7 linked regions of the Mus musculus genome follow. The protein of the gene in region 7 binds, or shares a complex with, the protein of the main gene of each other region. Links are inferred from orthologs where the notes say so. Each region holds a gene or a part of one and is shown on either strand. Other genes may lie near its edges.

Evidence for each region.
Region 1: Pfdn6 (region 7) and Polr2e share a complex: the UniProt entries of both Homo sapiens proteins name them as parts of the PAQosome complex. The link is inferred for Mus musculus from reciprocal best matches to the Homo sapiens genes PFDN6 and POLR2E.
Region 2: Pfdn6 (region 7) and Uxt share a complex: the UniProt entries of both Homo sapiens proteins name them as parts of the PAQosome complex. The link is inferred for Mus musculus from reciprocal best matches to the Homo sapiens genes PFDN6 and UXT.
Region 3: Pfdn6 (region 7) and Asdurf share a complex: the UniProt entries of both Homo sapiens proteins name them as parts of the PAQosome complex. The link is inferred for Mus musculus from reciprocal best matches to the Homo sapiens genes PFDN6 and ASDURF.
Region 4: Pfdn6 (region 7) and Wdr92 share a complex: the UniProt entries of both Homo sapiens proteins name them as parts of the PAQosome complex. The link is inferred for Mus musculus from reciprocal best matches to the Homo sapiens genes PFDN6 and DNAAF10.
Region 5: Pfdn6 (region 7) and Ruvbl1 share a complex: the UniProt entries of both Homo sapiens proteins name them as parts of the PAQosome complex. The link is inferred for Mus musculus from reciprocal best matches to the Homo sapiens genes PFDN6 and RUVBL1.
Region 6: Pfdn6 (region 7) and Pfdn2 share a complex: the UniProt entries of both Homo sapiens proteins name them as parts of the PAQosome complex. The link is inferred for Mus musculus from reciprocal best matches to the Homo sapiens genes PFDN6 and PFDN2.

The regions. Positions count from the first base shown.
Region 1 is NC_000076.6:80,036,704-80,040,902, forward strand, and holds the start of Polr2e (DNA-directed RNA polymerases I, II, and III subunit RPABC1), read right to left. Parts: upstream 2,957-4,199; 5' UTR 2,937-2,956; coding exon 2,880-2,936; intron 1,911-2,879; coding exon 1,736-1,910; intron 682-1,735; coding exon 485-681; intron 271-484; coding exon 212-270; intron 140-211; coding exon 61-139; intron 1-60. UniProt on the Homo sapiens protein: DNA-dependent RNA polymerase catalyzes the transcription of DNA into RNA using the four ribonucleoside triphosphates as substrates.
Region 2 is NC_000086.7:20,959,102-20,963,218, forward strand, and holds the start of Uxt (protein UXT), read right to left. Parts: upstream 2,878-4,117; 5' UTR 2,833-2,877; exon of another isoform or gene 2,749-2,832; intron 2,686-2,748; 5' UTR 2,677-2,685; coding exon 2,579-2,676; exon of another isoform or gene 2,575-2,578; intron 919-2,574; coding exon 837-918; intron 702-836; coding exon 634-701; intron 365-633; coding exon 257-364; intron 1-256. UniProt on the Homo sapiens protein: Involved in gene transcription regulation. Acts in concert with the corepressor URI1 to regulate androgen receptor AR-mediated transcription. Together with URI1, associates with chromatin to the NKX3-1 promoter region.
Region 3 is NC_000067.6:53,349,841-53,354,219, reverse strand, and holds the start of Asdurf (ASNSD1 upstream open reading frame protein), read left to right. Parts: upstream 1-1,467; 5' UTR 1,468-1,600; coding exon 1,601-1,690; intron 1,691-3,286; coding exon 3,287-3,340; intron 3,341-4,157; coding exon 4,158-4,233; intron 4,234-4,379.
Region 4 is NC_000077.6:17,232,155-17,235,728, reverse strand, and holds the end of Wdr92 (WD repeat-containing protein 92), read right to left. Parts: intron 3,023-3,574; coding exon 2,815-3,022; 3' UTR 529-2,814; downstream 1-528. UniProt on the Homo sapiens protein: Key assembly factor specifically required for the stability of axonemal dynein heavy chains in cytoplasm.
Region 5 is NC_000072.6:88,482,326-88,485,995, reverse strand, and holds part of Ruvbl1 (ruvB-like 1), read right to left. Parts: intron 3,034-3,670; coding exon 2,884-3,033; intron 1,589-2,883; coding exon 1,525-1,588; intron 284-1,524; coding exon 85-283; intron 1-84. UniProt on the Homo sapiens protein: Possesses single-stranded DNA-stimulated ATPase and ATP-dependent DNA helicase (3' to 5') activity; hexamerization is thought to be critical for ATP hydrolysis and adjacent subunits in the ring-like structure contribute to the ATPase activity.
Region 6 is NC_000067.6:171,344,076-171,348,527, reverse strand, and holds the start of Pfdn2 (prefoldin subunit 2), read right to left. Parts: upstream 2,854-4,452; 5' UTR 2,817-2,853; coding exon 2,742-2,816; intron 1-2,741. Other genes in the region: Nit1 (deaminated glutathione amidase), read left to right, coding at 2,959-2,960, 3,528-3,614, 3,989-4,240, 4,361-4,452. UniProt on the Homo sapiens protein: Binds specifically to cytosolic chaperonin (c-CPN) and transfers target proteins to it. Binds to nascent polypeptide chain and promotes folding in an environment in which there are many competing pathways for nonnative proteins.
Region 7 is NC_000083.6:33,938,380-33,941,899, reverse strand, and holds Pfdn6 (prefoldin subunit 6), read left to right. Parts: upstream 1-1,556; 5' UTR 1,557-1,812; coding exon 1,813-1,876; intron 1,877-2,081; coding exon 2,082-2,152; intron 2,153-2,236; coding exon 2,237-2,361; intron 2,362-2,788; coding exon 2,789-2,912; 3' UTR 2,913-2,991; downstream 2,992-3,520. Other genes in the region: Wdr46 (WD repeat-containing protein 46), read right to left, coding at 17-78, 180-267, 382-494, 628-708, 809-1,015, 1,141-1,251. UniProt on the Homo sapiens protein: Binds specifically to cytosolic chaperonin (c-CPN) and transfers target proteins to it. Binds to nascent polypeptide chain and promotes folding in an environment in which there are many competing pathways for nonnative proteins.

The sequences.
Region 1 (4,199 bases), on a different chromosome or scaffold from region 7:
CAGGGAGATCCAATAATTCCCAAAGGGCCTAGGAGGGGAACAACCACTGTGGCTTCTCACCTGCCCTCGCTTGATCCCAAAGTACCGTGCCACTGGGTCCCCGGCCTGGATTCTGGGTAGCTGGCTCTCACGAAGCTTGCTAGAACAGTCAAGGAAGCAGCTGGCGGGCAGCGCTGGGGTGAGGGGGGTGTGGGGACAGAGTAAAGGATACTATCGAGCCAGCAGTTCAGTCACCTCCTCCTTTGTCATGACCACGTGCTCAGGGACTAGCTGTGGAGACAGAGACCCACCCACAGGCACGCGGCCATCAGGAACTTCAACAGACCAACAGACTAATGGGTATTGTCATGGGGCTGGGACAGAGGACAAAACCAGGCTATTAATATCACCAAGTTGGATGCTCAGGGCCAAAACCGGGGAAGCACCCCGCCCCGGCCCGTGTCCTGGATGCAGGCAGCACTACGCCCCACCCCACCACACACACCTCGTGCTCTGTGATATTGATGAGCAGCTCCTGCTGTAGAAACTGTTCCAGCACATACTTCGGGGCCATGTCCACCAGGGACTGCTTGGCGGAGGGCGTCATGCCCTGCTGCACCACAATCAGCGCCCGTGTGATGTTTTCCTCCTGCATGCGCTGGCAGTATACCTTGATGGTCTTGATGCCCACCTTGGGCTCCTCTGCGGGCACACAAGCACCACCCTCACACTCACTACTGGAGCCTGTGGTCTTAGTTTCTCTGCTTGCAAGGGAAGACTAGAACATCAAGGCAGCCATGATGGGGCTGCCAGGGGGCTCAGCTATCACTGCAGAAGCTGCAGGGTATGCAGGAACTGCGGCCCCCCTGGAACGGGGGTGGGGGCTCTCAGCAGCTCTGGGGTTTGGGGGATATGGTACTGTCAGCTTAGACAGCCTCAAGGAGAAACTGACTGACCAAGAGATGGACCCTGTGTCTACATGAGGCTAGCCTTGTCTCCTCAGGCAGAGCGCAGGAGCAGACCCAGGCCACCTAGTTTGCAAATTGCTGGATAAACACAGGTATATTTACATTATGACTCATAATAGTAGCAAAATTAGTTATGAATTAGCAATGAAGATTTTATGGTTGGAGGTCACAATGTGAAGTGTACTAAGGGGTCCCAGCATCAGGAAGGCTGAGAACCAATGCCCTCCATAGTTGTCCCGGAAGTCATTGTATAGACCAGGCTGGCCTCGACTGCCTGCCTCTGCCTCTCAAACACTGGGCTTACAGGCATATGCTACCATGCCCATCCCCGCACCCCCCAATTCTCACACTAAAAACCAGGTCCCGGGGCCACAAAGCATTAGGTATTAAAAGAGGCAAGCTGTCTGGGGAGACTGAATGTAGCTGCACAGGGAGGTCCTGGGCTCCCCAATAGCCTTCACTCCCACAAGACACCTGCGCTGCTGGCAGAAGCTGTAGAATACAGCACACAGGGGGTGTGGGGGTGGCATAGCTGGCCCTGGGACTCCCAGGCAGAAGCTATAGAATACAGCATATAGGAGCCAGGGGGTGGAGGGCTGAGAGCTGGTTCTGGGGCTTATGGGATGAAAACGACACCAGCAAAAGGGAGGCTTCCCAGGGGAGACAGGGACAAAAGCAGGCAGCTGCCACAATCTTACAGGCAGCGTTAGGCCAGAGTGGGACATGCATTCACTGGCACCTGAGCCAGGGCCTGGAGGAGACCACTCCTGCCAGCCCAAGGGCCTCACCTGGGAAGAACACAAACATCTGGTCTGTGGGGTCATCGTTGTGGGCCACCAGCACCGTGAGGTCTGTGCGCCTTGGCCGTCCTTCGCTGGGCTTGTCCCCAAACTGCGCCTTGAATTCCTCAAGTGTCTGGTCCAGTTCATCCTGGGTCACCAGGTAGCCACGGTCATGACACAGCTGCAGAGACAAGAGGCAAAGAGGCAGTCAGCCTGAGCACTTAGCTCGCAGACCTGACCCTGAATGGCCGAGGCTGGGGACTAACACTGAACTGATCCAGCAGTACCCAAACTCTGTATAGGCTCAGACCACAGCGGCCCGGCCAAGCCTCTCCTCCCCCCAACCTCAGTGGAGCAGGCTGGGATTAATCCCCTGGCAACTGTAGGCAACCTTCTGAATACAGGCACCTTCCTGTCCCCAGTCTTGAGTGTTCCTGATGAGGGAGACTAGAGCATCATCCAGGATCAGGGCTGAGGAACAGGCATGAGGTGGCCCTGGGCTCCACCAACACAGCATAAGTCAAAACTATGCATACCTCTTTATCTAATAATGGTGTCTCATGTGTTCAACTCAAAACAACCAAGAATTTTTTCTTTTATTCCCTTTTTCTTTTTCAAGACAGGGTTTCTCTGCGTGACTTTGTCTATTCTGGAAATCACTATGTAGATGAGGCTGACTTCTAATTTAAAGAGATTCGCTTGCTTCTGCCTCCAGAGTGCTGGGATTAAAGGCGTGTACCATCATACCGGCTTGTTCTGTTTTTAAAAATACTGTTTTTTCATCCTATGTGTGTCTGGAGTCCCCAGAGATCAGGACAGGGCGTCAGATCCCCTGGAACTGGGGTTACAGATGGTTGATAGCTTTCGTGTGGGCGGCTACCTAGCTCGCATAAAACCAAGTGTGACCACGCAGCAGCCCCCTCTCCCGAAACGGAGCCCACCCAGGCCTTTTCCCCTGAGGCAGAGTTAGGAGGTGGAAGCAGTAGGATTTCTAAGAGTTGAAGCCAGCGTGGGTGGGCTCCACACTTTAAACGGGGATGCATTCCAATCCAGGAGGATTGGCCCCTGCGGGAGGCGGGCCTCGGCGGACAACCCGCAGTTAGTCCGCAACTGAACGCTCGCTCGCATAAAGCTCCTCACGCTTGATCACCTGCATGATCGTCTTGCGGATCTTCCACAGCCGGTAGGTCTCCTCCTCGTCGTCCATGCTGTCGCGCTTCCCAAACAACTGTGCACGCGCGCTCGTGGAGCTGCCAGCACGGAGCCTGCGCCGGACGCACAAAATGCCCCCCGCCCCCCGGCAGTGCGCCTGCGCCAAGGGCTGGGAAGGCCCCCGCCCAGGTTCGTGCTGTCTAAGGTGAACGCCGGAATAAACCTACTTTCCACGACAGGCTGCGCGTTGGGCAGCCCCAGCCTTCACCGGGGCGGTGTCGCGCGTCGGGAAGATCTCGCGATACTTGACCTGATAACAGTTTTATTTCCCTCCCTTAGGCGTCTCCCGGGCTGTAGTCCACGCCTTTAATCCCCGTCCTCGGCAAGCAGATCTGTGAGTTCGAGGCCAGCCTGCTCTATAGCCAGGTCTACAGAGAAAACCCTGTCTCGAAAGAAAGCAAGAGACCAGTGATGAACAGCCAGGTTCATGTGCCTCAATTTCCCTTTTTATACAAGTTTTTATTAGTGTATCTGCACTTTACATGAGAAATCGGATGCAAGCACCCACATGAGGTGGCCCCCAGCCATTTGTAACTCCAGCTCCAGAGAGTCTGATGCCTCTGGCCTCCAAGGGCCACACTTACAGGTCTATACCCACATGCAGACACACAGATAAACATAGTTAAACGACTAAAAATCTAAAATGAAAACAATCGATGTGCGGGCATACACACAATGAACAAACAAGTGTGTATATGGTGGGCTAACTCGTGAAAAGTTTGAGAAGGTGGTGAGAAAATGAATCCTAGGGAAAGGGATTCCAGGGCTAAACCCTTCCAACTATACAATGGGAGTTCACAGGAACGCCCCTTTCTCCTTTTCTTTCTTTCTTATTTGTTTATTTATTTATTTATTTATTTATTACATGAAAGTACACTGTAGCTGTCTTCAGACACTCCAGAAGAGGGAGTCAGATCTCATTATGGGTGGTTATGAGCCACCATGTGGTTGCTGGGATTTGAACTTCGGACCTTCAGAAAAGCAGTCGGGTGCTCTTACCCACTGAGCCATCTCACCAGCCCTCTCCTTTTCTTTGGGGGAGTGTGCTGACTTGAAATTTGGTATAGAGACCAGGTCTCAACAGCGCAGAGAATGGCCTGCCTCTGCCTCTCAGTGTTGGGATTAAAGGCGTGTGCCACCAAGACTGGCAAGGTCTGTCCTTGGAAGTCCAGATGCCTCCATTCTGTCCTGATGTGCGTCTGACAGCTCATCTACAGATCATCACCAGTTCCTGCCTGAGAACTTAGGCTGATCCCAA
Region 2 (4,117 bases), on a different chromosome or scaffold from region 7:
TTTATACACAGAGATTTGTTTTATCACCCAGAGTTGCTTCAAATTCATGATCCTCCTGCTTGATTCTCTAGAATCCTGGGATTACAGGTGTGAACTACCATATCTGGCTTTTATATATTTTGTGTATGTGTTTGTGTGATGTGTGATATGGATAGAACCTAGGGCTTCACACATGCTAAGCAAATGTTCTTACCACTTCCCTGTACCCTTAGCCAATGTAGTGGCTTTAGATACTATCCTCTTGGAATGCACTCACTCTGTGAGGAGAGAACTCTTTCGGTCAATGAACTTGAGTGCTTCAGCCAGTGTCAGTTCCAGGAAAAAACCATATCCCAGGGCCACATAGATGCGTGAAGTATCTGGGCTGAGGAAAGAGGTCAGAGGAAGTGGAAGAAGTCTTTATTACTATTTAGCACACTGTATGGTTTAAGGTGTTTCCTATTCCTTCCTGTTTCTCAAAATGAAGGCTCTGTAAAGGCAGATACTTTGTGTTCATTTTGGCCACACCCACAACATGTTGCTCATATCCTAATGAAATATAAAAGCTACTAGAGCCTTGTATATAGAAAATACTAAGAAATACTTGTTCCATGAAAAAAGGGAGAAACTCAGGAGGGGAGAGAATATACTCACACCACTGTGTCAACGAAGAAGTTACAGCCCAAATCCACCTGCATATATAACTCCGAGTGATTAGTTTCCTATAGGGCCAGGAGAAAAGAGGTAGGTGTCAGCGGGCAATTTTAAAGGCAGATAAGGTTTTGTTCTTGGGGTTTCTTCCCGCCTCCCTTCTTTGTACACATACACAAAGTGGTACCCAATTTAAAAACCTTTACCTGGAGTCGCTCAATGACATTTCTTAGTTGAAGATATACGGACAGCTGCTCATATACCTTGTCTCGATGATCCAGCACCTTTCTGATATGTAGAAATACAACAGTGAACATTAGGCAGCCTTATTCCTCTTGAGATGCCAGGCATTTTAAGTCAGGTTGTGGTTGACATGGATGTAATTCATGGGCTGAGGCAGGAGGATTCTGAGCTCAAGACCAGCTTGTGCTACATCGTGAGATCCCGTGCTCCCCTCCTCCAAAACACACACAATGGGGTATAGACAGAGACACAGCAGGCATTTCAATAAATACAGGTCAGACTGTAGTTCAGCCTGACCTCTACCTCTTACTAGGAATGTGACTATGGAAAGTAGAAAACCTACCTAGGATTAAGTTTCTTCACATAGAAAACAGAGATGGCCGTAGTAGCACATAAGAGTCATTAGAATCGAGTGTTTACTACAAAGTGTTTTAAATGCTAGCCAAATGGTAAGCATTATATACTTGTTACCTATTATAATTATAAATATTACATTTTATTCAGTGACTTATGCCAATTAAAATGTCCCATCTTCACCCTAAATGTACCTCTCCATCTCTTTTAGCATGCTCACACAGTCCTAGTTCTAAATACCTAACTTTCTATTCAGATTAGTAATGACAGCAATAGCAATCATCCAGTTGTTGAGTCTTTAGTGTATTTCAGGCACTGGGGTCAAATTCCTTTCCTAAAACAACTATTTAGGTTATTTGTTTTATTACCCAAGACAATATCTGAGTTTCTCAGGCTAAGTATTGAATTTGTAAACACACCAAACAATTCTTTCCTCTCAGCCTCAATATAATAATAGTGGGGTTTATCTGCATTTTTAAAATGTGTTCTTACTTGCATTTATGTGTTTATTTTGTGTACATGTATGGGTGCCATGATACATACCTGGAGGTCAGAGGTCAGGTTTTTGGGAGTCTTTCTTTCTTCCACCATGTGGGTCCCAGAGATCTAACTTAGGGCATGGGGTTGGAGGCAAGCCATCTTGCTGGCCCTAGTTTGCTTGTTTTGAGACATAATCTCAAAGCCCAGGCTATACACAACCTCGAATGTAGGTGAAGATCACCTTCAACTCTGGGTCATCCTGCTCCTGACACTATCCCAAGTACAGCAATTGCAGGCCTGTGTCACCACACTGGATTTTTTTTAAAATAGAATATTGTTCTATTTTCAAGGCTGGCTTGTAATCCTGGCTAAACAAGTGAATTTTCCCATCTCTCCACTAGAAGTGGCACACACCATGGAGCTTGAGCCTGGCTTTATTCTATTTTTTTCTCCCTTTGAGAAAGTTAGTCTGTAGCCCAGACTGGTTCTCAGCTTTACAAAGATCCTCCTGCTTCTGGCTCCCAAGTGCCGGAGTTGACACATTTAAAACTCAAACACCACGTTAAGAAGGCCTAATAAACTTTTCCATTTCACAGATGAATAAAGTTCACAAAGGTGAAGTAAGGTACAACTTGTTCATAAATATTGGTTAAATGGCCTAGTCAGAAACACCCTGTGTTCGGAATGACTATTTTAAACCAACAAACAAGGTCAGAGCTCTGCTAAAGGGACAAGTTCCAACCACATCTCAGCCCAGAAGTCAACCCTATTCCCAGAAGTCTGGGCGGCCAATCCGAAAGTTTGGTCGGCATTCTGTCCCACCCACCACGTGAAATTTCTCAAACGTCACGCCTCCCACGTTGTCACTCACTGCAAGTCTCGCTGCAGTACGTCACTGATAAAGGTCTCGTACCGCAGCACTTTCTCCCCCACCGTATCCAAGGCCCGCCGTTTCGGGGGCGTCGCCATGACGGGCACCTGGGGGAGTAAAGGGGGGGGCACGTTGAGCGCTCTATTTAAACTTCACAAAATTCTCTCCAGCCACTCAACGTTGGGGATGACTTCTTTCGGCTCGAGCTACGGAGTTGCTTCTGCCCAACCCGATTTTGGAACTCGTTCACTCACCGGTACAGGAGTACGGCGTTTACCGTAGGGCCACCGGCAATAACTGTTAGTATGAGCCGCGGCTTCCGGGTGGCGCGGATGGATGATGTAATTTCCAGCAAGGGAGCCAACCAAATCGATGGGAGGGGCGGTCCGGCGTGTGGGAAGATGCACTTAGGGGAAGGGCTGCAGGCGGGGCCTGAGTGAATCCTTGGAGGTAGCAGGATCCTATGGATCTAGATGGGCCTGGCACGCCGCGGTCTGCCAGCAGGCGGATCGTCGCGAGCTGGCGGGAGACTGGTTTGGGTGACGTTCAATGAGATTTGGCGGGTTCTGAGGGAGGGTGGACTTACAGGAAGGTAGGGAGAGGGAGTTAAGTGTTTATAATTAGTAATTTGAAGTGTGTGTGTGTGTGCGCGCGCGCGTTGGTACTGAACTTATAGGCAGTTGTGAGCTACCATGATGTGGGTGCTGATAATGGAGTTTACATTCTCTGCAAGTTTTATGTGTTTTTAACTGATGAGCCATTTCTGTATTCCCCCCTCCTTACTCTTACATTTGTTTTCCTATTTTATGTGTTTTGTCTGCATGTTTATGGACTACATGCGTGCATTGCCCACAAAGGCCAGAAGAAGTTGTGGGATTCCCTGGAACTGGAGCAACCAACAGTTTGTGTGCACCATGTGGGTAATGGGAATCGAACCTGGGTCCTCTATAAGACTGGCCAGTGCTCTTAACTACTGAGGTATCTATATAGTCCCTATTTTTTTCTTTTAGAAACATTTCTATTCTTTGAGAGTTTCATAGATGTATGCAATATATTTTCATCATCTCCACTCCCTTTTCCCTCCAACTCCTCCTAGACTCCTCCTACCACATTTTCCTCCAATTTCATATTCTCTTTAAAACAAACAAACCAAATCAAAACCAAAAGAACTCACTGAGACCACTTAAGCATTTAATAATTTTAAAAGCACAAGAGTGCCTATAGACCAGCAAGGATTATGGTACTAATCTATAAGGAAGGCAGTATATCCTGTGGGGATCTGTTTGAAAAAAATATATGTTGCACACATTGTTTGGTTTTCACCCTCCATAAAGGGAATGAATAAGAGCACATAAAAATGTTTAAATGGAGACAAATTTTAAGAAATTTATCTTGAATGAATTTCTGCTTGGTGGCATGCAGTCCATGATGAGGGCTACAGAGAAACCTTGTCCCCCAAACCAAAACCAAAATTTGATGTTACATGTATTTAAAAGTAAATTTGATGTGCTTAAAGCAGATATTAGGAAGCTATATAAT
Region 3 (4,379 bases), on a different chromosome or scaffold from region 7:
TCCTTATCTTTTTTGATGACTTTTGGTTGAAAGTCAATTTTATCCTATATTAGAATGTCTACTCCAATTTGTTTCTTGGGACCATTTGATTGGAAAATTATTCTCAGCCCTTTATTCTGACATAGTGTTTGTCTTTGACACTGAGGTGTGTTTCCTATATGCAGCAAAATGTTGGGCCCAGTTTACATATCCAGTCTGTTAGTCTATGTCTTTTTATTGGGGGGATTGAGTCCATTGATGTTAAGAGAAATTAAGGAATAGTGATTGCTGCTTCCTATTATTTTTTATGTTATTTTTATGTTTGTGTGGTTATCTTCTTTTGGGTGTGTTGAAAGGAGATTACTTTCTTGCTTTTTCTAGGGTGCAGTTTCCCTCCTTGTGTGGGTGTTTTCCATCTATTATCCTTTATAGAGCTAGATTTGTGGAAAGACACTGTGTACATTTTGTTTTGCCATGGAATATCTTTGTTTCTCCATCTATGGTAATTGAGGGTGTTGCTGTAATAGTAGTCAGGGCTGCTATTTGTGGTCTCTTAGGGTCTGTATGACATCTGCCCAGGATCTTCCAGCTTTCATAGTCTCTGCTGAGAAGTCTGGTGTAATTCTGATAGGTATGACTTTGCATGTTACTTCACCCTTTTTCCTTACTGCTTTTAATATTCTTTTGTTTGTTTGTTTGTTTAGTGCATTTGGTATTTTGATTATTATGTGATGGGAGGAATTTCTTTTCTGGTCCAATTTATTTGGAGTTCTGTAGGCTTCTTGTATGTTCATGGGCATCAAATTCTTTAGGTTAGGAAAGTTTTCTTGTTTAATTTTGTTGAGGATATTTACTGACCATTTAAGTTGGGAATCTTCACTCTCTTCTATACCTGTTATCCTTAGATTTGGTCTTGTCATTGTGTCCTGGATTTCCTGGATATTTTGGGTTAGGAGCTTTTTGCAATTTGCATTTTCCTTGACTGTTGTTTCAATGTTTTCTATGGTATCCTCTGCACCTGAGATCTGCATCTGGTATGTCTTAAGACAGAGACAGTGAACTCATCATATACATAAAATAAGTAAATCTGAAGAAGAAGAGGAGGAGGGGAGGGGAGGAGGAGGAGGAGAAGGAGGAGGAGGAGGGGGAGGAGGGAAGGGACGAGAAGAAGAGGAAGAGAAGGAGGAGGAGGAAGAGGAAGGGGAGGGGAGAGGAGGGGGAAGGGGATGAGAAGAAAAAGAAGAAGAGGAAGAAGGAGGGGGAGGAGGAGGAAGGGGGAGGGGGAGGAGGAGAAGAAAACCAAATTTAAGAGTATTAAATTATAGTGATTTATTTTTACATAGGATCCACTAGGGGGCGATACAGACCATTCATAGATTCTGCAGCCAAGCCACACCTACATTTAGCAGAAAACCATTTTGCAGTGGAGCACAACTCTTAATTCGACTTTTCACAACCCACCCCGCGCGCGCTTGCCACTGCGCAGGCGTGAGTGTGCGCACTCCATTGGTCGGGGTGCCGGAAGGGGCGGATTCCTGAGTGGAACCCAGGCTTCCTGCCGGGGCTGCTGGCTGCCGTTCCTTCCTCAGTCGCGGTTCTTGGCGTGCGGCGCGGCTAGGCGATGCCCAGCAGTGGGGTGCACGCCGATGGCCGCGCCGCGCCGGGGCCCCCACACACATCGACTGCGCACGCCGAGTCCCTTAGCAGCAAGGTGCCGTGGGACGCCGGGGAAGGGTGGTGGGCGGCGGGCCCCGCTGTGCCCTGTAGCCTCCGCCGTGCATTCTCAGCACCAGCAGCTGATTCCCCTCCATCCTGCAGGTTTGCGACGATGGAGGCGTGTCCCCTGAAAAAAAGTGACACACAGATGTGTTGCTCAGTCACACACAGATCTGTTGCTCTGTGGCTGTGCTTCATCCAGTTAGCCACGCACCCGCCTGGGTGCCATCCATGACGTCCATCATAAAAGTTTAGAAGTCTGTACCTGTTCTTCCAGACTCAGGCAAAAGCTTCTTAGCCGATTTTCTCAGCTGCCTGTTACCTTAAAATATATTCTCAACTTTAAGTGATCCTAAAAACATCTGTTTGGTCATCTCTTTATTATTCAACAAGAGAAAGGAGCACCCTATCAAATTAATTTTTTTCTATACCTTTAGGATAGGATTTCATAAATAACTCAGGCCAGCCTCAGATATTATTGCTTAGGCATTACTTGAATAATTCTCTTGCCTAATAGCCAGGATTTCAGGGAGGCAACCCCATACCGGAACTAGTCCTAACTTCCAGTTACAGACGAAAATCTTTAAACGTGTAGAGTGGAAGGGTGTGGGTATAGTCTTTTCAGATATTAAACATTCCTAAATTCTGTATTTTTTCTGTCCTATATGATATCTTCAGTACATTGCCTAATTCCCGCTGTACCACAGTGTACTGTGGTGTCACCTAAAGTGACACCTGTCATTCCTGTAATGAGCATAAAAACACTGTACAAGCAGACTTGAATCTCAAGGAAAGCGTACTCAATATGGCTTTGTAGGTTATTAGTACAGCTCTCAGGACTTAATAGACTATTTGCCTAGCTTAACGATACCAGCAATATGCAGTCCTTAATACTTGAAATAGAATGATACAGTGGTGGAAAATCATGTTGGATCAGTGCAGGTAGGGCATTCAGTACCATAGTACCATTTCATTTGTTTTATCCGAATGTCTGGCTGTCATCTAGTGCATACATCATAAAACCATTGGTTGTTGGTAAAGAGGAGAACCCACATTCATTTTATTTCTCTCTTTTTGTCTACAGCAAGACCTTATAAAACTAAAAGATTGGGTTTTTGTTGTTTTCGGGAGAGGTTTTGTTTGTTTTTGGTTCTTTTGTTTGGTTGTTTTTTGTTTTTTTCAAGACAGGGTTTCTCTGTGTAGCTCTGGCTGTCACAGAACTCAGTCTGTAGACCAGGCTGGCCTCGAACTCAGAAATCTGCCTGCCTCTGCCTCTCAAGTGCTGAGATTAAAGGCGTGCGCCACCACTGCCTGGCTTAAAAGATTGGTATTAATTTGGGTAGGCAGTGGCTCACCCTGGTTAAAGATGTGAGCTGTGGTAACTGACCCCTGGCAAGCCTATGCTTCTCCTTCTCAAGCTGTCTTCTACTGATTCCAGACTGAGTGCTGTTGATTTGTTCAGTGTCCATTTAGACAGGCAGTCCATTATAGCCCCCAACCCCATCTTTAGTTTTAAAGCAGTGACTTAAAATGTTCTCGCTAAACATACTTTGAAATCTTCCACTTTAGATTTTTTTCTTTACTTTAATAGATTAAAGAACAGAAAATTATTGTGGATGAACTTTCTAATCTAAAGAAGAATCGGGTGAGTTGCTGTGGAAATCTGAATAGTATATTAAAATTATGATTTCGATTATTTATGCTAACATTACAAAATTCAAAGATCATAATTTAAAAGCTAACGTGGTATCCTAGTTTGTTTTTGCATGTTTTAAATTTGTTTTTCCTGTATATGTCAATAGATCTCAAAGATAAAAAAATATTTATTATATTTTAACAAAAAAGAATGAAGTTTTTCACAGAAAACTTTACTATTCTAAATACTTAACCCATTTAATGCCTTTTTTATGAATATGTTCAGAAATCAGCTGCGATTATGTAATGACTGACATTCTTGACATTTCTGATATTGTCATTTGGGATATATTAGATGCTAAGGCAAATTAATACAAATTTTTGGAGATCAAACTGTCAAAATGTGTAAATGCTGTTTGACACTTCTGAGTAACTGGTGTGTAAGCAGTTGTGAGGGTGCATGTGTGTTTACACGTAGAGGCGCTCATCAGCACCTGTAGTGACGATACAGTAAGTGTCTGAAGCTTGAGGCCAGCAAAGAACTATAGTGTTGTACCCATATGGTCAGAAAAGGTCTCCATGTATTATTCATTTATGAAGTAAATTATAAATCTGTGGCTATGATAGCTTTTGTTACTGAAAGTGTGTGGTATGATGATGCATGCTAAGTAAACAACCAGTTCTGGGTGGCGTAGTATTCAGTGGCTTTGTTTCTCTGTGGTAATTACTGTTCTGAATATTCCTGAAGTTCAAGAATAAATGATAACAGGATCCTGTTCAGCATCAGTGTGCATGTCATACCCTGATCTTGTCAATTTCGTTTGCAGAGAGTATACAAGCAGCAACAGAACAGCAACATATTCTTTCTTGAAGATCGAACAAAAATCTTTTCTGAAAGCAAAAGTGAGTGGTGGTCGTCTTGGTTTTTGTTTTCAGAGTTATATATGGAATGCTACAGAAAACCTTTTGTAAGCTTTTTGTGGGGATTCATAATGGTGCCTCAGTTAAGCCCTATCTGAATAAATGTGTGTGTTGATTTAGTACAGTGG
Region 4 (3,574 bases), on a different chromosome or scaffold from region 7:
ACCTACTCCAACAAGGCCACACCTCCTAATTTTTTCAAACAGTGGCTCCTTTTTGACTCAAATATACAAGCCTATGGGGATCATTGTCATTCAAACCACCACGCTAATACAATTTATTTTTATTTTGTTTTTAATTTTCAGTAATCTCTGTGTGTGTGTGTGTGTGTGTGTGTGTGTGTGTGTGTGTGTGTGAGTATATGTCACGTGTGTGGATGGCTGCAGAGGCCAGAGCTGTTGGATTCCCTACAGCTAGAGTTACAGGAGGTTGTAAGCTGTCTGAGGTGTATGATGGGAAGCCAAATTGGTCTTCTGGAGGAACAACAGGACTCTTAGAGTCATCTCTCCAGCCCCATCACCAACATGCTATTTACAGAACACAGTACCGTAAGCATGACTACTAATGACTCGGAGTTTAAAAGAAATTTAGAAAACACTAAGAAATAGTTTTAAAAGAAATAAGCAAAAATTTTACGGTGAGTTCAAGGGTCAGATTCTGGAGATTAAGAAGTAGGAAGCCAAAGCCAGGGGGGGTGGCACACACCTTTAATCCTAGCGCTTGAGAGACAGAAACATTTACACAGCAAGTTCCAGCACAGCCAGGGTTACAGAGAAATCTGAGGGAACCGCGTATAGTGGCGCACACTTGAGGCAGAGTGAGATGATAAAGAGTTCAAGGCCAGTCTGGGTTCAAAACATAAACAAAATATACCCGGTACCAAAATAAAATAGTACAAACCAAATACTAGCTGATAAGAACGCACGGCAGCAACGTCATTGATGACAGCTTGTTCTTCCTCTGTGGTACTGAAAGACCCCCGAAGTGAGACCCTTACTCAGGCACTCAAGTCCCGGGACAGCCGCGTACCCAAGAAGACACTGAGACCATACATAAAATGTAGAAGGTAAGATTTAATAAAGCAGCGACATGAAAGCACACAGACCAGAGCTCTGGGGTCGAAATAAAGCAGCAACATGAAAGCACACAGACCAGAGCTCTGGGGTCGAAACTCATACACCTAGTGGTGTAGAGGAGAATCGACGGTCAGCCAAAATTTTTCACAGGCTTATATAGTAAAACTCAAAGGGGGAGAACTGGGCAGGGAAAGTACAAGTTTACATCACTAGGGAGTTCTGCCAAAGGAATCTACGTAACTAAGGAGTCATGTCCTATCAAGGAATCTACGTAACTAAGGAGTCATGTCCTATCATTTGGCAATGTACCCGGTTCATTTTGAGGTTGTTCCAGGAGGCCTTTATCTCAAAAATGTTTTTCAGATGGGAGGGGGTGGGCTCCGAGGTAAAAAGTTCATGTTCTTACAAGAGGCCAGTAATTTTTCATTCTTCAGTACAAGGTAATTCTACAACTGACATCTTAGACTTCATGAAATAAATTAATTGTTCTAGTTAAACCTTTCTCTATCATCAATAACAAATACTCGAAGCCAGATTCTCATATATTTTCTATTTTTTTCTTTTTTGAACATTGGGAGAAAAATCCAAGCGGCCTTTTTAAAGATCAATTTTATTTTTATTATATTATACTTACAACTCCGTTCCTTTTAGATGTGCTTTGTATGTGTATGTGAGCATGCTGTGCACATATGTCAGTGGTCAGGGCTGAGTGGCTGTCTCTTTCCACCTTACTATGAGTCCTCAGAACTCAGGCGTTCCTCCTTCATAGCAAGCACTTAACCCTCCACAGCACTGTTCTATAAAAGCATGTTGGGAATAGAGCTCATTGGTTTTGTAAATATGAATATTATATGTCTCTGCCCCTTTGAACTGAGCTGGGAGACACAAGGTTTATTGCAGGTATGATTAATCCAGTCCTTCCGGAGGCTCAGCTTATGATGTGGGCCAGTGAAACTAAGGTGCACTTAACAAGGAGGAAGAAGGGAACAAAGGGAAAGAATCAACGCCTCCAAATATTTTAAAAACCTGTTTATTTTAAAATATATATTTTAAAGGTTTGACAAAAAGGTTTAAAAACAAATTCAATCTTCAACGGCTCGTCATCACTTACCACAGTCAAAAGACAACTAAGGCTGGTATCTGAGTAAACGAGAGACAGCTGGAAGTCACAGTATTTTACCAGTTACACTGCTGAAAACAGTTCTCCAGGCTGGCTAGTCGAACCGTGTTCTTCTGGAGCTTTACAGAGCAAGTGAAGTGACTCCGAGTAGGAGCACAGTGTACAGAGAAAGCACAGAGCTATGCAGATACAGAACAGACTTAAATACACTTAAATAACAACTACTGACTTTGGCTTTACATTTTTTTTTAATTTAAAAACAATTTTTTTTTAATTTCTAAGAATGTGCATGTGTCTGTGGGTACCACTGCCCAATACAGCCAGAAAATGGTATGAGATGCCCTGCAACTGGACTTACAGGAATTATAAGTCACCTGATAGAGATACTGATGATCAAACTTGGGTCTCATCCAACTATATTTAAAGGCAGAGTCTCACTATGCTGCCCAAGCTAGTCTTGATCTTATGGACTACATTGATCCTCCTGCCTCAGCTTGTTAAGTAGCTGGCACCACAACTCCTGGCCCTAATGTTTCTGAGTAGAAACATGGGGAAAAGGAACAAAGCTGGTGCTGGTGTGTGGGGCCTTCACGTGCAGCAGCATGCTGGTCAGGCCAGCAAACACCCAAAGATGCTAGAGGCTGGCTGGCTGGCTTTGTGCCCATGGCTGTCACTCATCACTCAAATCCAACCGTCTTCAATGGGGCCAGAGGATGCAGAACACAGATCAAGTTACAGTTCTGTGAGCAACCCTCTGGACAATGTCAAGTGTAAAGTCTGAGTCAAATGGTCTGGAGCTTTGTAACTATCAGCACACGCACCATCTGGTCAAATGAACTACAGACGCAGAGCCCCCTTTTGTCAGGACTCCAGTCCAAACTGGAGATGGGCTGAGTAGACACGGTCACGTTCTGCAGAAGGCTGACGGAACCTGCGACTCCCATCTCCAAGCCCTCGGAATCTTTCTTTGACCGCTGAGTTGGGTATTCACTAAAAGACAGGAGCAAAGGGGTAAGAGTGAAAGCTTGGCGTTCACGGGTGGATTTTTATATGTAAGCTTCAGTGACTTTTATTTCTCAGCTGATGGCTGAAGCAGCACTTAGGACTTTCCAATATTGACCTTACACGAGTAAAGGCAGAATTTCATCCTCGGGCAACGGTGACTTTTCCTGCAAACTTCCACACAGCACCTCTTTTCAGCATCTGCCTGTGCTTCTCTTTTAATATGAATGCTATAGGTTGGACTGACTTGGGGCTCTCCATAATCTTTTGTTGTAATTCTTTCTGAAATTTGGATGGCCAGACACCAATGGGCAATGTGTGTACCACAGAAAGGGCTGTAAGCAACAGTTACAAAAGCTCATTTAACACATCCACAAAAGACTTGGTACCATAGCCACCCAGAGGCCACCATGCAGACCAAGCCTGAGTGCCCTGTCTGTACTATGCAGTGGGAGTGACACTGGGGAGACAGTTTAAAAACCACTGCTTTCACAAGAGAGAAAGTAATGCTAAGAACATCTGATTTTTTTCTTTTCTTTT
Region 5 (3,670 bases), on a different chromosome or scaffold from region 7:
CTCATGGCATGCAGGCATGCGAACCAAGGAGAACACTCGTTCAGAAGGAAGGTGGGAAGCCTTGGAGCAGGCGTGAGGCCCTACCTGATGACACAGTTGCCTCGGTTGGATGCAAAGATGACAATGGGGGCGATGGAGGACTCCAGGGCTCGGTGCAGGTAGGTAAAGCACTCGATATCCAGCATGTGGACCTCATCGACAAAAAGCACTCCAGGGACCAGCTCGGCCACACCCTGGTCAATGTATTTGTTCACCACTTTGTTGATCTCCCCTCGAAGTTTATCTAGATGTGGGATGGCAGGGTCAGCACCAGCAAATAGCTCCCGCTCTGAGCTCGGACTTCCACCCAAACCCACCCTACACCTGTTTCCCCAACTGTGAGGCCCCAGCAGGCCCTGGCCCCATTCCAGCTTCAGTTACATCATCTAAAACAGGAACAAACACACCTAAAGGCCACAGAACTGGCAGCTTTCCCTAAAGTTGTTTGGCTAACCCCAAGTGGGTTGTGCACAGGAAGGCCATGACCTCCTCACACGCCCCACCCTGCCTTATTGCTCATCCTCCCAACCCGATGTCCAGCTCCCACTAGAACTCAAGTCTAGCAGATTTGGGAGCCTGGGACGACAGGAGTTTTCATATGCAAATATTCCTATGTTGTGCTCTGTGAATGACCCTGTCTTATGGCCCTGTGTGACGTTGCCTTCAATCACACGCAGTCTCAGTCCTCTCCAAACAGGAAGATGGTTTCAGGCCTTACAAGATGTTATCCATAGTCAAATAGGCCACCACGAGTCACAGCCCAGTCTTAACCGCAGCAGTAGGGTCTGGTCATAAACAGAACTGTAAGATCTGCTGGAGTTGCTACCTCTTCTACCAAATCTACCAGTAAGAATTGCCTGAGAACAAAGAGCAAATTCAGGGCAAAAGACTACAGTGGTTGCTGCTGCATGCAGCACACACACCTGTGACCCCAGAACTAGGAAGGCTGAGGAGGAAATGCAGCATCTCTTAGTCAAGGTGATCCTAGACTAACCAGTGAAACCCTGTCTCATCAGCCACACAAAGCCAGGCAAAATCCAGACACAGCTGCTCTTGGGATCTGGAAGAACCGTCTCAGCTGCTCGTCCAGCTGAGACCTCCAAGATCACAGAGACTTCATGCTTCACACACAGTCACCAACCTACAGGTTGCTAGGAAACGATAACAGAGGTGGGAAGAGTATAAAGGCCACACCAGAGCAGGGCAGAGGGAAGAAGGTGGTGCTGCCATGGCAGCAGAGTTCGCTCCACTTCTCAACATCCCTAGGACCCCAAAGGGACCAGAAACTCTAGGTGCCCAGGACCAGAGAGCACACTACTGTCTAAACAGAGCACAGATGACAAGGTTTAAGCTGTGATCTCAGAGGAGGGAAGACACCATCACCACGCTTATTTTACTTAGAGGAGCACATACAGCCACTGGGTTTGGCACCCAGGGTCCTGATCTACTGTAGGCTCTGGGGGCAGGCAGATCACCAGCTCTTACCTGTGATCTCTGTCTTTTTTGGCTTCATCAACTGGCCCATCATAGACAGAATATCTTGCCCACCCTGGAAAAGAGAAGACTCAGTCAGCCAGAGAAGACTGAATGACCATGCTGTCTAAGGAGGCTACCAAACCTAATTCCCCTGCTTCCTACTGGTCTCCAATGTCAACTCACTTGGAGATGCCAACACAAGCCCCCTGGAAAGTTTATATTTTCATGTATGTGTTTTCATGTATGTACATTTTTTTAGACAGGGTTTCTCTGTGTAGCCCTGGCTGTCCATGAACTTGCACTGTAGACCAGGCAGCCTTGAACTCAAAGCTCCACCTGCCTCTGCCTCCTGCTGGGATTAAGGCATGTGGGTGGCATCATGCCCAGCTTCCTTGATAAGCTTCTAAACACAGAGGAACTTCACAGGCTCCAGACCTCTAGGAATCAAACAAACTCTTTCCATTGGGAGTAGAGTGAACAGGGTGACCTCTTCTCCCACTTTATCTTTTAAAATTTGTTACTCCTGGATTATGCACAAAGGACCAAAGCTATGACTCAAAGCTCTGGCTGTCTGTGCCATCTTCCTGCGAGGCCCCTCCTGTTAGGAAGCTGCTCTGCTGACACTCTGTCCCCACACTCTGCCTAAAGCAGAGGCTTCTGAGGTCAGTTTGGAGACAGACATCTACCTCCTAAAGGCACTTGCTGGTCTAGGACTGATGTCAACAATCTCTTGAACAAAGCCTCGATGGGCCCATTCTCCACTGCTGCTGCAGAGGTGGCCTAGGGAGGATGAAGATAAATGTAACCTGAAAGGCCACCAGTAAGGAATTTGTGTACTTTGGTTCTTTGAATCATGTCCCTCAGAATTGTGGCTATGGAATGACATCCTTTCCTACAGTTATCAGTCAAGGTCTAAATATTTACTGTCCCTCCAGAGTTGCGGGCTTGGGTCCAGCTCAAAGCTAAAGGTGGCAAGGCTCTGCTAAGTGGAGGGAGGTCACAGTTGTGCGAGGCTTTCAGAAACCCTGTGAGGGTTCACACAGCACTCATGCCCTCCTGTCAGCAATACCTAGAGCATCCAGGCACAAGTCACTGCTGGAGAGAAGCCAGGGAGGAAGTTGGCTAGCTCAGGGCGGGAGGCTTGGCTGCAAGAAGAAATAGCCCAGGAAATCATCTGTGACTGGTGCACTAGAATGGGAACAAAGGAGTGCTGCGTAGCTCATGCCCATGTTAATTGCCGAACATCACAGAGAGAAAAGGAGCGCCTGCCTCCAAAGTGGCAGCAAGACCTTGCCGATTCATCCCCAGAGCTTCCAGGCAGAGACAAAAGGCTGCCCGAGAGCTCCTCCCACAGCAGCACAGCAGTACCTGAGGCCGCGCATTAGCCACATCCAGGTCATGCAAGGTCACATCCTGTATGATTTCCTTCTTCTTGTGCACATCTCCCTTTGGCAAAGGGACGTACTCTTCAGCTTCAAGGTCAAACTCTGTGGCATAGGTGTCACACCTGCCTTGCCTCTGTAGACAGAGAGACAGTGAATGCTGTGTGGGTTTTCACTGCCCAGCCCTCAAATGGCAGAGCTCAGTGAGATAGAGGGTCGGGTCCCAACTGCAGCCTAACAACGACAGCCTCCCTGACAATCCCCCCATGTGCCCAACCCAGTGTGCCCACTACCCTCTGCCAAGAGAAGGAAGCTACCGGCGGGTCACAGATACCCGATACTTTCTCCAGAGTCCCCAACACCCGTAACTGTATGCACTTCCCGATAAAGGGCAAATCCAGCAGATTAACTGGAGACAGAGGGAGCTGCTCAGACTCTTTTGTAGGTGGGTGATTTACTGCTTGATATCAAGTATTATGCTCATCCATTAAACAGTGAGCAACACTGTACAGGACACTGGGAATCAGATACGAAAAGAATGCCAGCTAATGCCGCATTCCTTCCCACATGCATATATCTTGGGAAGAAAATACCAGAGAGATAAAGGAAGATTAAATACACTGCACATTTCAATTTGAAAATGACTAAAGTTGTTTTGGTCTCTCACCCTGTTCTCCCCCTCTAAACAGGTCTTAGTATTTCTAACAGACTGTCTCTTTTCACGATGAGAAGGTTAAAGAATGAAGATAAGGAAAAGAAACTTTATAATTCGC
Region 6 (4,452 bases), on a different chromosome or scaffold from region 7:
AGCCTATCTCAGACAAAACAACAATAGTAAACCAATAAATGATAAAGAACAGAAAATAAAACAAGCACCTAGTACGAAGTATTACCTGCTCCTATTTTCCTTGTGAGAGACACACTAGGCTAACACACACATCAGTAATAAACCTTAAATTGGGCTGGGAAGAAAATTTCACAGGTAAAGAGCCAAAGAACCAGGGTTTGAGCCCCAGAACACACTTTTTAAGAAGGAAGAGGAGGAGGAGGAGGAGAAAAAAGAAGAGGAGGAGGAAGAGGAGGAGGAGGAGGAGGAGGAGGAGGGAAAAAAAAGGCAGGCAGGCAGGCAGGCATGGTACTGAGGCATGAACTGCCTGGCACTGGAATGCTAGTGAACTTAAATTCTGAGGCTTGTTTTCCCAGTGCTGAGGAAAGGGAGGATCAATGGACTCTCTGGTCAGCCATCCTAGCCTACCTGGTGAGTTCTAGGCCACGTGAAAAACCCTGTGTCAAAGAACAAAGTTGACTGTATCTCTTTAGGTCTTGCAATATATCTCTTTAAATTCTCCAGCATTTTCAATGCCAAGCAGTTCATGGCTCAATGCTTTTGAACACACTACTTCTAACGAAAAAAAATCTTCACATGACTAACTTTTCCCAGCCTTTAGAATTAAGCCAAAAAATCTAGAAAATAAAAGGAAATTAGCATTTAGAAAGACTGTTCAGATTATGTGCGTGCAAGTGTGTCTGTCTGTGCGAGATCAGGTGCTCGAGTGCAGAGGCCATCTCTCCAGCTCTAAGTAGCATTTGTTAAACACACTATGTAGTCTCTGTATTTAGTCATGGTGGAAAAAAACAAAACAAAACAAAACCCAAATGGATTTTCTTGCCTAGTACTCTAGTTACGAAATGGAAAACTACTGTGCTTTTACAGATAGACGAGGGTAAAAGGTAACAAGAGAAATCATATATAAATAAGAAATACAAAGCAAGCACAGGTCATTCTGATTCTAGGCCAGGAAACCCTCCCAACCATTCCACTACCCGCCATTCCCTTGCCTACTTACCTGCCACATCCGAAATCTACACTACTTTGGACTCTCTCTCCAAACTGTGCAAGAAAAGTTCATTATGTGCAGAAGTTTGTAGTGTAGGGTTGGAGAAATGGCTCGGTGGAAGAACGATTACTTTTATAGCGGAGGACCTGGGTTTGGTTCTCAGCACCCTCATGGTAGCTAATAGGCAGTTATCAGAGGTTTTGACCACTCTTCTGGTCTCTGAGGGCTCCTGCACACATGTGGTATATGCACATACACATGCAAACACACATAAAGTCTCATTGTTTTGTTTTTGAGACTGTGTTTTACTCTGTAACCCAGGCTAGCCTGGAACTGACAGGGTAATCCAGGGGGATTATGGGTATGGGCCACCACACTTGGCTGTGACCAAGTTTAAGACAAGGTCTATTTCATTTACCTGTTCCTCTGGGTTAAGCAAAGCCAAACACAAGACGGACTCTCCAAAGCATTAGCATTTTTTCCTTCCCACTATGTCAGAGGCTACACCCTCTTCCATCTCCAGAATTCCCCTGCACTTCAGTTCTCCCTGAACACTTACTTTCTAACTCTTTGACAGTGTGGGTTTTAGACTCTTTATGCTGATGCTTTTACCTGTAGGAATTGTTCAACAACCAACTGACAAATGTACCTATGATTAAAATTACTCTTCTGGGGCTGGTGAGATGGCTCAGCTGTTAAGAGCACCGACTGCTCTTCCAAAGTTCAAATCCCAGCAACCACATGGTGGCTCACAACCATCCGTAATGAGATCGGACTCCATCTTCTGGAGTGTCTGAAGACAGCTACAGTGTACTCACACATGAAAGAAAGAAAGAAAGAAAGAAAGAAAGAAAGAAAGAAAGAAAGAAAGAAAGAGAGAGAGAGAGAGAGAGAGAGAGAGAGAGAGAGAGAGAGAGAGAGAGAGAAAGAGAGAAAGAGAGAAAGAGAAAGAGAGAGGGGGTGGGGGGTGGGTTCTGCCCTCTTCCGAAGTCAATCTTTGCAAAGAGAGCACACCGAGCAAGCTCGAGGCCAGCGTAGGCCACTTAGTAAGACCGTGTCTCAAAGACGAAATAATCCGAGCCTTTAATCGCAGTATGTGGGAGGCAGAGGCAAGCGGATCTTCCAGGCCAGTTTGGTCTACAAAGTGAATTCCGGAAAAGCCAAGGCCGGACCCGACCCTATAGCAACCCTCATCCCCACCTCCAAGACAAAACAAACAAACAAACAAACCACAGACTCCTTAGTCAAAATAATTTACGGAACACTAAACTGCTCAGAGTCTGAGTCACGTGGCTCTGCAGCGTGTTGGTGATGGTGAACACGGTTTTTGAGCCATGAACTACATAAGCCACTCACTGACTAAGAACAGCTTGGAATTCGTTACTAGATGCCACGCCAAACACCATACGCTCTTTAGGGTACCTCGGAGAGGGGGCAAACTACGATCCATCTTCTCAGAGACCTGGCCAACCCTCCCAGACCCTGCAGCTCAGGGCTTTCTCCCTTGACTACCCACCCACACCGCGGGCGTGCCTCTCCCCTACCTACCCAGGCTCTAGAAAGGTTCGTGATCACCTCCAGAGACCCCCTCTCCCCCGTGCGTGCCCATGGAGACCGTGGAAAGGACTAAAGGCCCCTTCGAGCCACAAATCTTATCTTCTACACGAATTCGACACCGCCCCGGGTGCCTTGTGCGCTCGCGGCTCCTCACCTGTTCCGCCGACACCGCCCCCTTCCCCGCGCCGCTCCCGCCGCTCTTGCCCACACGACCGCTGCTGTCCGCCATCTTCCCCACCTGCAAGCTTTCCGGCCTGCGCACTCTCACTGCGTCACATCCGGCCGGGGGGTTACCGCCCACTTGCTCCTGCGCTCCTGGCTCCTGGCAGCTCTTGAGATCCGACCCCGTGAATGGTTTTGGCTGTGTCTTCATGTAGGACCTACTCCCAAACCCTGCCCGCTGCGGTGAATTCCACCTGCGATGCTTTAACTTGTGCAACAGAGATTCTTGCCCGGGGGGGAGAGGCGGGGAAGGACGCGCTAATCAGAGGGCGGGGGCTCGGGTTGGGATCTGGTCCTGTACCCATCTACCCACCATGAGATGGTGGAGATCTAGGGAGGGTGAACTTTCCTTCTGAGATTCGGGTATAAGGGGAAAGATACGTGTTGAGTCTATAAAGCTGTGCAGGTGGCACAGCCGAGAAGAGAATTGGGGAAACGAGGAAGGTTCCATGAGATGACTTGAACTGCGGAAACGTTTGGCAAAGGAAAAAGGGCTTCAGTTTTAATGTGAGATCACTGGAAGTTGAGGTATTAAGGCACCGATCATAGTCGCCTCTCCCATTTTCCCATTTTATATCTTTTCCTAGCTACTAGTAGTAAAAAGTATTTTCGAAGCCTTGGGGGAGGGGATTACTGGCCAGGCCTGGAAATGGCAGAGAATTCTAGAAACTTACGGCTTGAAAGAGGGTTAGGTGTCCTGATTTCTCACCTTCTTCAGGCTGGGCTTCATCACCAGGCCTCCTCACCAACTCCTGTGTACCGGATACCGATTACTTCGAACCCCAGTACTTTGTACTCAGCCCAGGTAACATATTTCGTAATGTTCTCTCTCTGGCGCATAGCTGCTTAGTTCGTGTTTATTAACTTCATAGTGGGAGACAAAGATATCTCCAAACATGTAATGAGTGAACTCCAGTAGCTCTAGGGTTATTATGCTCTGTAAGAATGAAAACAAGTTGCTGGGGTCACCTGTAATGCCAGCACTCGAAAAAAAGGAGGATCAACCAGGAGTTTAAGGTCATCCCCAGTTACATAGAAAGGCCTGTCTGGGCTACAAAAGACCGTGTCTCAAAAAAGAAAAAAGTCAAAAGAAAATAAAGTTTCTGGCTCCACCCCCACTTGAGCCTCTGAGTTTCTCCTAGATAGAAAATCTGAGGATACTGCCTGTGTCATTCACAGGCCCAGAACCATGTCCTCATCAACTTCCTGGGAGCTGCCCCTGGTGGCTGTGTGCCAGGTAACATCAACACCAAACAAGCAAGAGAACTTTAAAACATGTGCTGAGTTGGTTCAAGAGGCTGCCAGACTGGGTGCTTGCCTGGCCTTTCTGCCTGAGGCATTTGACTTTATTGCACGAAACCCTGCCGAGACATTACTCCTGTCCGAACCACTGAATGGGGATCTTTTGGGCCAATATAGCCAGCTTGCCAGGTACAAGGGTAGGGTTTGGGGGGGGGGGGGTTGTGTGTGTAGAACTCCCTGTTGAGCAGTGTTCCTGGATTGCCACAGAGGGGGTAGAGTTGTGTGTGTCGTGTCCCCCCCCCCCCCCAGGGAATGTGGAATCTGGCTGTCCTTGGGCGGTTTCCACGAGCGTGGCCAAGACTGGGAGCAGAATCAGAAAATCTACAATTGTCATGTGCTTT
Region 7 (3,520 bases):
CGGAACTCAACCTTACCTCCCTGTTCGAGAGTAATTCAGTCTGTAGGGTCCGAACTGTCTTAGATTCAGGTCAAAGTGCTAGAAAGGGTGAAGTGTCCGTGAGACAACGAACTCACAAACCCCATCCCACCCCCAGCCCCATCCCGAGTCTCCAGGCTCCTCTCCCAGCCTGGGCTCACCTTGGCAGCACTGGCGATGTCCACAGCCTCCACGATGTCTGTCTGCAGGATTTTTGCCGTGTCTTCCCCATCTTCTCCTACCAGAAACCTAAAAGGCAGTTAGGATGACGACGGTGACGGTCCCCACCATGCAGCGGGCATACAAACATAAAAACGCAGAGAGACAGGACAGCGGGGAAAGCCCAGGTCGGGGTCCACTCACCCAGGTTCCTCTGCAAGCAGCAGCTCAGCGCGGGCGGCTCTGACGCTTGCCTCTTCCTCTTGCGCTTCAGCCTTCTCGAGTTTGCTTTGAGTTTTAGGCTTCGAATGTGGGAGCTACGGCATTGTTGACAGGGTTGCAAGAACCGAAGAGCATATGTGGGGGTCCCAGGAAAACCACTGGGGAAGCCGCCACCACCTCATCCAAACCCTCGGCCTCCAATCCCTCTGACAGCCCGCCGGTCCTCACCGTTTTGGACTTGTCAATTCGACAAAACTTCCGGGCCTCCTCCAGGGGGGCGGGGACGGGTCCTGGGAACGGGTCCTGAGCCTGGCGAGGACAAGGAGGCAGGAGGCAGATTCTGATGGATCCGGTTCCTCTCGATCTCCGGGGACGACCTGCACCGCCACCCTGTCAACCCCAGGCTCACCCCCGACAGCGTCCTCTGAGGCTTCTTCCAGTCTGGAGCGGTCTTTGAGATCGGGGGCTTCTTGGAGAACCGGGACTTCTGGGCGATGTGCGCGCTCTTGGACCTCGGGGGTCGCGACTCCCCAGTCCTCGCCTTCTTCCGAGGCGGCCCCGGGGAGGTGGCGACGGCGGCCGGGGTGGTCTCCTCCTCCCAGTAGCGCCGCGGTTTCTAAGGGGCAGAGGAAAAGCCTTCGCACACGCTGCCCGAGCCTGGGCCCGGGACGCGGACACCTCCCACCAAAGCTACCTTCCTCTTGGCCTGAGGCTTGTCTCTCTTGGGTGGGACACCCCTACCCGGCTTGGGGGCTGTCTCCATCTCCAAGACCGAACAACGATCCACGTGCGAAACTCCCTTGAGTAGTAGCTCGGCGGTCTAGGAAAACTTCCGGAAGTCCCCCCCTTCATCCAATCAGCGCCGTACCGGCGTCTGAAGCCTCCGGCGCCATGTTAAGTGAGGGCATGCCTCTGTGAGCCCGGGAGGATCGCCCGAGGAGCAGCTTATAACCAAATAAAGATTTAAAAAGCATGTATGAGCCCCGAATCTTGTTAACTATGAGCTTAGATTTTTCCATATTAACTTTTCTGTCTTGCCCAAAACCTCTCGAGCCGAGTCTTTTAGGTCGAACGAGCCTCACACAAGTCAGAACTACATGTTCCAGCATGTATCGGAATGTAACTTCCGGCGCCGTCTTTTTCTCTCCCGTCATGCCTTGTTTACTTCCGGGTTTATTGATTACAGCGGGTAGAGCGTGAAGAGGTTAGCGTTTGGCTTGGAGGGTTCGGGGATCTCTTCTTTCGCTCTCCTTTGCCTAGGGAGTGGCTATTCTGGACGAAAAGAGGCTGCGGCGCCTCGGAGAGTTGCGGGTAGAAAGTGCTGTCCTTCTGCAGGGTCAGGGAGGGGGGATTCAGGTGCCTCCCAGAGCTTGAGACCCAGCGACCCCCGCCCAGGAGGCTTTCTCCTTCACCATGGCTGAACTGATCCAAAAGAAGCTGCAGGGAGAGGTAGAGAAATATCAACAGCTGCAGAAGGGTAAGAGAGGGAGTTGGTGTGGTCTCGCTCCTGTCCGCTCTCATCTATGATGAAGCGTCGCGCCCCATTGGGGGCTGCGGGGGTGCATCTTGTTACCCCTCGCCTCGGTATCGTCGCTTTCTTCCTCACACCCAGTCTCCCCAGAATTGCGCGGTTCTGGGCCCATTTGATGTTTTTAATCGTGCATTTCCTCTCTCCACCCCAGACTTGAGTAAATCTATGTCAGGGAGGCAGAAGCTCGAAGCACAGCTAACGGAAAACAATATCGTGAAGGAGGTGAGGATGGGACGCGGGGGTGGGGGGCGAGGAGGGACTCTCCTGGGCACGATCATCTCATTCACTGCCTCATCCCCTTCTCAGGAGCTGGCCCTGCTGGATGGATCCAACGTGGTCTTTAAGCTTCTGGGACCCGTGCTTGTCAAACAGGAGCTGGGGGAGGCTCGGGCCACAGTAGGGAAGAGGCTAGACTACATCACAGCAGAAATGTAAGTCCTGCGGATGGCGTTTTCAGTGCACAAGTGTTAAACCCGTGCTGGATAGTTCTCCACTTACCCATTTCTGTAAAGTCCTGGCTGCCCTGGAACTCGCTCTGTAGACGGGGCTGACCTGACACAGATGCGCCTGCTGCCGCCTCCTAAAGGATGGGATTAAAGGCATGTGGCACCACTCCTGGCCTTTCTTGCTGTGTGACATCTGGTGAGGGCACTTGTCAAAGGACAACCTGCGGGAATGTTTGCCTCCCTACTGTGGGGTTCTGTAGCTTGAATTCAGGTGCCAGCCTTGGAGGACAGCAGCCCTCTCTTCCCCTTAGTGCCATCCCCGCTTTCTGTCCCACAAACCTCCAGTCTTCCACCATATCATTGAGCCCTGGCTGATATCTCCTCTCCGTTTGCCTCCCTTTGCCCTCCTCAGCAAGCGCTACGAATCACAGCTTCGGGACCTCGAGCGGCAGTCAGAGCAACAGAGGGAAACCCTTGCTCAACTGCAGCAGGAGTTTCAGCGGGCCCAAGCTGCAAAGGCTCCTGGGAAAGCCTGACCCCGTGGGAGGGGGTCAGGAGGGAGGGATGAGGCTAACCCTGAGCCAATAAAATGTAAACAGAACCAAGCCTACTTTACAGCCAGTCTTTCTTCACTGTACTTCCATTCCCGTACACTTTTACACCTCTTGAGATTCACGGTCTTGTGACTGAAATCTCTCAGTGGCCGGATTCTGTTTTGCTTTCCTGTGGCTGAGAACTGTGCCCAGGGTGTTTCCTTGGGTCCCTTCAGTTTCAAAACTTTAGTCTGAAACGTCTCAAGCTATTTCTTGCCTGTACATACAACCCTTTGACTTCCCTACGTTGGTTGGCGTAACCGGGAGACACGGGAGAAGACACTGTCTACAGTGCAGCATGTTGTTCGTTGCCATAGAACTCAGTTCTCTGGCCTGAGAGCCCAGGAAATGACAGTCACTCACGGTGAGCACTTGTCTCCCCAAGCAGCCCTAGCCCTAGACTGTTACCTGATTTCCCCGTCTATCTTCTCAGGGTTGGTTTGAATGTAACTTTTTTTGGTTTTGGAGACAGGGTTTCCCTGTGTAGTCCTGGAACTCACTCTGTAGTGAGGCTGGCCTCGAACTCAGAAATCCGCCTGCCTCTGCCTCCC